Ovis aries: one gene and its partner. The protein of the gene in region 2 binds, or shares a complex with, the protein of the main gene of each other region. Links are inferred from orthologs where the notes say so. Each region holds a gene or a part of one and is shown on either strand. Other genes may lie near its edges.

What was found. The genes of interacting proteins can lie anywhere in the genome.
Region 1: STRN3 (region 2) and STK24 share a complex: the UniProt entries of both Homo sapiens proteins name them as parts of the core of STRIPAK complex. The link is inferred for Ovis aries from reciprocal best matches to the Homo sapiens genes STRN3 and STK24.

The regions. Positions count from the first base shown.
Region 1 is NC_056063.1:74,891,193-74,894,940, forward strand, and holds the start of STK24 (serine/threonine-protein kinase 24), read right to left. Parts: upstream 2,541-3,748; 5' UTR 2,179-2,540; coding exon 2,137-2,178; intron 1-2,136. UniProt on the Homo sapiens protein: Serine/threonine-protein kinase that acts on both serine and threonine residues and promotes apoptosis in response to stress stimuli and caspase activation.
Region 2 is NC_056071.1:39,341,955-39,345,602, forward strand, and holds part of STRN3 (striatin-3), read right to left. Parts: intron 3,011-3,648; coding exon 2,877-3,010; intron 1,571-2,876; coding exon 1,395-1,570; intron 1,214-1,394; coding exon 1,166-1,213; intron 869-1,165; coding exon 747-868; intron 1-746. UniProt on the Homo sapiens protein: Calmodulin-binding scaffolding protein which is the center of the striatin-interacting phosphatase and kinase (STRIPAK) complexes.

The sequences.
Region 1 (3,748 bases), on a different chromosome or scaffold from region 2:
AGGAAAGAATATTCCTTCCCAAATGGCACATCAGAAACAAACATCATAGATTGTATGGAGGCACTTCAAACACAGGGATGACTCTGTCCAAAGCCACCTCGCGCCCCTAAAACTGCAAGAGCTGAAAGTCTAGTTGTTTCAACCAAATAAAAACTTACCAGCCTTTATACTGAGAAAGCAAAATAAAAACAGCTCCCTTGTAACTTTACGGAGGAAATATGTTTGGGGAGGCAAGCTTTTCTTTTTTGAAGAAATGAATCTTCCTTATCCAAGACTTAAGAATTCTGGCCCACACTCCTGAAGCAAAAAATTGAAAGGTGAGGACAAAAAAAAAAGTGTTGAGACTAGATAACCACCTGACCTGGTGACCATCTGATACTGACTGGAGGGCATCAGCCAGAGAAGCTTTAAGTACCTTTTTAAATAGATTCCCTTTCCACAAAGGCTGACTACACCTCCACAGTAGTACTGAGCAAGGCATGTGTACCAGACTACATACAACCTAATTAACAGCATAAGAGTATATCTCAAGAAAGTACTGACCAAATATGGTTCTTGGTGGGGGGTTTTTTTTTTTCCAAATCATTACAAGAGGTCCTTCTTGCTCTACTGGTCAGAAATACATTTTTACCCAGTTCACCCTGCTTTCCTGTCTCTAAATTCAAACCAAACCAAAGCAGGAATTTTAGGAAATACCAAGAAACCACATCTGATTTCTACCTAGCGGTCAGCAGTAGCTTAGGTTTTTTAATGCGTGTTGTTTAAAAGCTCTTTACAGGAGGTTCAAGGACAGTTTTCTTTTTAAGTACAGTAAAGTTATTAATGTTAATTGTCACTCCACTTTAAAAAAAAGCTAAAATCCCGGTAACTTTTTTCTAGATATCAAACCTGAACAATGAAGTCGAGTTTTCTACTTCGGATTTAGAGAGAGAAAAGATCTCTCTCGAATGAGGGGGCAGATTCCTGGCTCCCATGTGGTCCAAATACTTCTCAGCCCTCAAGAGGAAGGGGAGGAAAAAAAAAAACAAAAACGAAACAGTACGTTGAACACTAAAATACAAATAATCCACTCGGATACTTGTGATTGTTTTCTTAAAGTTCGTACGTTCCCTCGCCCGGCTAACCTGGGGGGAACAAAACTTTTGAGAGATACCGTAACCGTTCCGTTGAGATTTTTAATCCCAAACATTTGCCACCATTTACCCGTTTATACACATCACAAACTAGCCGAGGAAGGTGGTTTTTATTTTTCAAACGCCTAAACATAATCCCCGAAGGCGAAAAACTTTCTTTGATGCATCCTCGCCCCCACTCCAGAAAAAAATTATTAAGCCGCTGGGAGGCCAACAGGCCACAAAGAAGCCACGGAGAGGGTTAGTGGGAAGGGACTCTCCGTGGTCGGATCCAATCGAGTTTCCAAGTCCAGCCCAGAGTCCCGGGACCCACGCTGTCCGAGTGCAAGCTGTCCGATCGATTCCTCCCTTCCAGAACGGACTTCCAGGCTTCGCACCTTCCCGTCCGTCTGCACCGGGAGGAAGCGCGCGGAGCAACGCGCTGAAAGCGGAGCTGGCGCTTACCCCTTCCTCTCCCCGCCCTGTCTCCTCCACCCGCCGGGCCGGGACGAGCCGGGGCGCGCCCGGGGGCCCCCTCTCCGGGGTAGGGGGGGTGGGGAGGGACAAGGGCCTCCACCGCTGCCCACCCCTAGCCCGCACCCGGGCCCCGAGAACGAGCCGGGCCTCCAAGGGCATTTCTCCACATCACTTCTTCCCAGGGGATGGGCCGGCGCGGGGCCTGCTGCTCGGGAGGGGGACGCGAGGAGGGCGACTGGGCCAGCAGCGCACATTCTCCCCTCCCCGGACCACCGGGACTCCCGGCCCGCGAGGGCCGCCTCCGGGCCGCGGCCCCCCAGGTCCCTTCACGACCCCCACCCCACCCGCGAGACCCGGGCCGCGGGGCCGGGCAGGACGCCCCGGAGGCGGCGAGCGCGGCGCGGGAGGCCGGCGCGACCCCGGAAGGGGCAGCGTTCGGGGGAACTGGGGGTTGGGGGAGCGGCCGTGTTTACACCGCCAAGTTCCCCGCTTCCGCCCCGGCCCGCGCATCCCTCCCGCCCCTCGGCGGCCCGGTTCCTGCCTGTACCTGCATGCCGGGCAGGCCCGACTGCACCGGGGAGTGAGCCATGGCGGTCAGGACGGCCACTTCCTGGGACGGGACGGCCGGGCCGCGGCGATCCGCGCGGGCGACGAGGCCCGCGGGCCGCGCGCAGCCCTCCTCGGGCGGCCGGGGGCGGGAGATGGGGGGCCGGCCGGCCGGAGCCCGAGGCCACCCTAGCCCCCCGTGGGTCCTGGGCCGGGCGGCGGGCTCAGGGGCGGGTGGCGGGCCTCGTCTCCATGCACCGCGCCGGGGACGGGCTGCGAGGAGCGCGGGGCCTCCCTACGAGCGGCCGCCCTGCTGCTGCTGCTGCCGCCGCCGCCGCCGCCGCCGCTGCTGCTGGACTGGAACCGGGCGGCCTGGGCCCGCGCGCTGGCGCCTGGAGCTGGAGTGGGGCGCGCACCGCCGGCCGAGCCCGCGAGCGCCGAGCGCGCCCCGCCCCGGCCCGGCCCCCGCGCCCGCCCCCGCGGCCGGGCCGGGGACCCCGCCCCGCGCTTCCGGGAGGGGGAGGAGGCTCGCGGCCGCCCGGCGCCCTAGGCCGCAGCGGTCCGCGCCGCCGCCGGGCCGGGCCGGGTAGAGGTCCGCGCGGCTCCCGCGGGCTAGACCAGGTGGAGGGGGACGCGCGGGCGGGTGCGGGGCTAGGGGCCTCAGTTAGCGGGGGGCAGGGGTCCCCCCCGGTGGTGAGATGGGAGGGCGCGGGTCTTCGGAGTCAGGGATGGGCCATGCGCCCACCCCGCCCTGCAGGCCCGGGCCGGTCGGACGCCCCGGGGGATCTGGGCTTGCCTTCCAAAGAAGCCCACCCCTCTCGGCCTGGCGACGGGCCCCAGGCCACTTCCCCGAGGGCAGAGCCTGGGGACCCGGCGGGGGCCTCGGCCAGCGGCCGGTTCAAAACTACCGGGGCGGAGCTTCTTCGGTGTCCGGGTGAAGTTTCCAAACCAACCCAAGGAGGAAGCCCTCCGGGAGGGGAGAGGCCGAAAGCGGTTCGTTTCCCGTGCTTTGGCTGCTTGAAAGCACTTGGAATACTAGGAGCTGTGAACTTAGCCAACAAACAGTGAGGGGGCTGAACCCCATCGTCTCTGGGCCCCGGACCAAGGCGTGGGGGCGGGGGACGTCCACCCACCAGAAGGGAGAAGCGGGCAGGGAGGGCCGAGGAGGAAGGGAAGACAATGGAAGGAAACGATGTCTAGACTTTCCCCTGCCTCTCTCCCGCTCTTTCGGCTGCCTCCACCTTCTGGTCACCTCTCCTCCGACTCCAGAGGAAAGAAGCAAGAAGGAGTGAGTCACTGCTGCCTCCAGAAAGTAGTAGTTTGTTTACAACGACCAACAGCGGCAGTCCCCTGAAGGGACCGGCTGCAGCTGGGGTTGCTAGGACCCCGACGTCTACATTCGTGCCCGTGAATGACGTTGCACCAAGGCTGGGTGAGGCTGGACCTCCAAAAATTAGCCCATAGAGTTCGCAGACCGCTGGAAGAAGTTGAAAAGCCCTCCACCGAATGAGGGGTGTTTCTTAGAGGTGTCAACTGGATTCAGAGTTCCCTGCGGTGCTCTGGATCAGATAAGCAATGACTTAAAAACCTACTCCCCGCTTTCCTTTGGGAAA
Region 2 (3,648 bases):
AAATTCATTTTAATTTTTTTATAGTTACAAACAATGTCCTTATAATTATATTTAAATATATGCACAGGTTATTTCTGTTGGCCAGATTCTAAAAATGGCATTCATGAATCAAAGTTTCAGTTTTTTTAAATTAAGAAATTTTTTGTCCCTCAAGTTCACTGATTTATACCCTCATGTCCTTATTTGTTTCTACATGCATGCTCAGTCACGAAGTCATGTCTAACTCTTTGCAACCCCATGGACTATAGCATGCCAGGCTCCTCTGTCCGTGGAATTTTCCAGGCAAGAATACTGGAGTGGGTTGCCATTTCCTCTTCCAAGGGATCTTCCTGACCCAAGGACTGAACCTGAGTCTCCTGCAATGGCAGGTGGATGCCTTACCACTGCATCATCTGAGAATTCCCATTTGCTTCTGTAGTCTTGCACTAATTATTTTTGAACTACGTAAAGTAGCTAAGTTGAAAAAAATTATTCCTCATGTTAAATTTCTCTTTTCTAGTATAGAAATTAATGCTTTAATTAATATAGTTTTAAAAAACTTTTTGAACACAATATAGGAAATACCAACTTGCAGGCTAAAATATTTATGGCATGATTATTTCTTAATTTTTCTCTTTAATAGGGCAAATTACTAGTAAATGGAAAGACTAAATGACAAGTTTAATACATATTTAAATAATATTTGAGGTGATTATTTCTGTCAGCGCCATTCACTTAAAAAGACACATCTTGAGCCTTTTACTCACCATATGTATCATATGGATCCACATTAGGACTAGGCATGTTCCACCACTGGATAGTTGCATCAGTACCACCACTAAAACACTGCTCTCCATTGGAACTAATAGCTAGTGACAGAACAGGACCACTATCACAGGAAAAGAGGGAAAAATTAGTGAGAAAGCCTACAAACTTACATTTGTACCCCTCCCACCTCTCTCTAAATTTATGTGGTATCTAAAACTGTTTAAGTTAACATGTACATTGGAACGGTACTAATTATATTCTCATTAGTATAATTATTAATCAAATGTAGTATTATTCAGCTAATGTCTTTCTTAATGTAAAACAAACATCATGAAAAAATTACAAGGCTACAGGAGTGATAAATAATAGTTAACAATAATTACGGCTGTTAATTAAGTACTAATTCAATAAAACTTACATGTGGGCCCTAAATGTGTAGATAGGCTCTACATCTAAAGAGGCACTCCTAAAAGAGGGGAGAAAAAAGGGGAGGGGAGAAGATAAATTATGGTAAAACACTGGTTGATATACAAGAGTCATTAGGAAAGATCAAATAAGTGCATAAAAGATACAGACCATAAAGGAGAATAATTACTTATAATTAGCAAATTTGGAAGAAAAAAACAGGCTAACATTAAAATACTTGCTTTTTGGCAGGAACTGTTTTTTGCAAGTTCCAAAGTTTCAGAGTATGGTCCTCAGAGGCAGTAACCAGCACAGGTTCTACAGGATGAAAAGCTAATGCCCGAACTCCATCAAAATGGCTACGTAGTGTATACTTGGGATTCCATGTCTTTCGAAAGGCATCTTTATTGGCAGGCAACTAGAAAGAAAGAGCACTATATTTAGTGGTAAAAGTAATGAACTGATAGGCATGTGGAGTTTTTGTTTGTTTTGCTGTGTTTAAAAGGTACATTCAAAAGTGCTTTGCTAAAATGTCCAGTGGAAATTTAGCACGCCTTAAAAACTTTATATCTTTATCATTTAATAAGAACTAAGAAGAATCATTTCATTAGCTTTCAAATACTTAGGTCGAATGAGTCCTTTAATCTGTTTTACCTAATGATCAAGGTAAACCCAAAGTCCTACTAAACATTAAAATGAGGGAAAAAACAAAACACACAAAGAAACTACCATGTTGCAACATTTTACATGAAAACAAAAATTAAATAAATTACTACCAAAAATCCAAGGGTACAATATTAACAATACAGTTGTCATTTAGAAAATCAGCATGTGACATTTTTCAAGGCAGCAAGTTAAAGTACTTTTCAAAAGTCTGAACTAAAGACACTTTTTGTTGATATTGGTAAGAAGTTAATCTTTTTACCTTCATTTCTCCATCTGTAAAGATAGGCTGTGAAACCACTTCTAAAGCAGTCAAAAGGTTATTATAGAATTTATTTGCTTACATACTTTAAAAGTATTAATGAGAATAATCCAGCCCACCAAGGCCGATGTCTCTAAAAAGCATTCTAATATAAGTATAAAACATAGAAAAAAATATGTTTATAAAAGGAAAAATTAATTTGCTGAAAATCTGCAAATTCACTAATACAAAATCTAAGTAAGTATAGTTAACTCTCAATTGAGTGCTTATTGTCTATAAAAAATTTAATCCAAGACTAGTTTCACCTCTAACACTGTCTTTTCCATTCCCTCTTCATCCTCTCCCCATCCCTCAAATGAAAGACTAAGTATTTAGGAAATGACAAACTAACTTTAACATTATCCTTTAAAAAAAAGTTCAAAACTAAAATGTGTTTAAAGAATTATCCTGAAAGCAGGTAAGTGATTCAGGTTACCTATTTTTCTCTTGTTAACAGCAAAGTATGGCTTAATTTGAGTAGGTAATTGAGAGTTGACTACTAAGGGTAGGTATTTATCAATCAGTATTTTTAGGTAATCAATCACCCCAAACTCCTAATACACCACAATACCCAAGAAAAATTTAAATACCACAAAGAAAGTAGTTGTAAGAAAAAAACTATATATCACTTCAAATAAACACAATGTCACACTTTATCTTTTCCATGCACCTTGACATTAATTCTGTTTTATAAGTGTTTCCAAAAAATAAGGAGCCTTCTATTAAATCATTAAAAAATTAAAAATAAAACTGCACTTACATCATAACTATAGTCTGCATCATTTGTTACCGTCAAGTCTGCAAGGTCTCCAAGGCCCAGTACACTTAACAAAACATCATCAGAACCCATAATAAATGACTTGCCTCCTCCAGATGGAAACGTTATTGGTTCAGCTATAAAGAACAAAACCGCTTCTTAAATGCTGAAAAATCATACAGTACAAGACAATATTGTGGGGAAATGTAAGCACTTAACAGTTATAATATTCAGTAATATAATTACTTTTTTATTTTCCCACTTCCCTCCTTATTTCTTCTACTCAAAAAATCCTATTACTGTGCAGTAATAAACAAGTGTTTTATTTATTTCAGAACTGAGTGTAATTTCCCACAAATAAAATATGCACTTGATGTATTATTTAAAGGTGGGAGCTTTATCTATTTATATCCCTTTGGTACAACTATAATTATAGTATTTTTTAAACATAATAGGTTATTGCTAAGTCCTTTCACTTTCCATCATATTTGTTTGAAAATGCTAGATATTCTCATCCCTGATAGAAAGTTAATACAAGTATTCGCATGTTATGAGCTTCCAGTCTCTTATACAGTGTATTAGCTTATTGAAGTAAAGCCTTAAATTGCTCAGATTTCTAAATGGTCTAGGAAAAGGGCAGTTCTACCTTTAGCGTCAGTTTCTTTTCCCTAAATGGTTAATCCATGTGATCTTCAGAATGCCTTCCGGTTTTCAAACTCTGTCTATGCTTTTTTTATTTTGACTTGTTTTACTGAATATACTCCTAAAATAAATA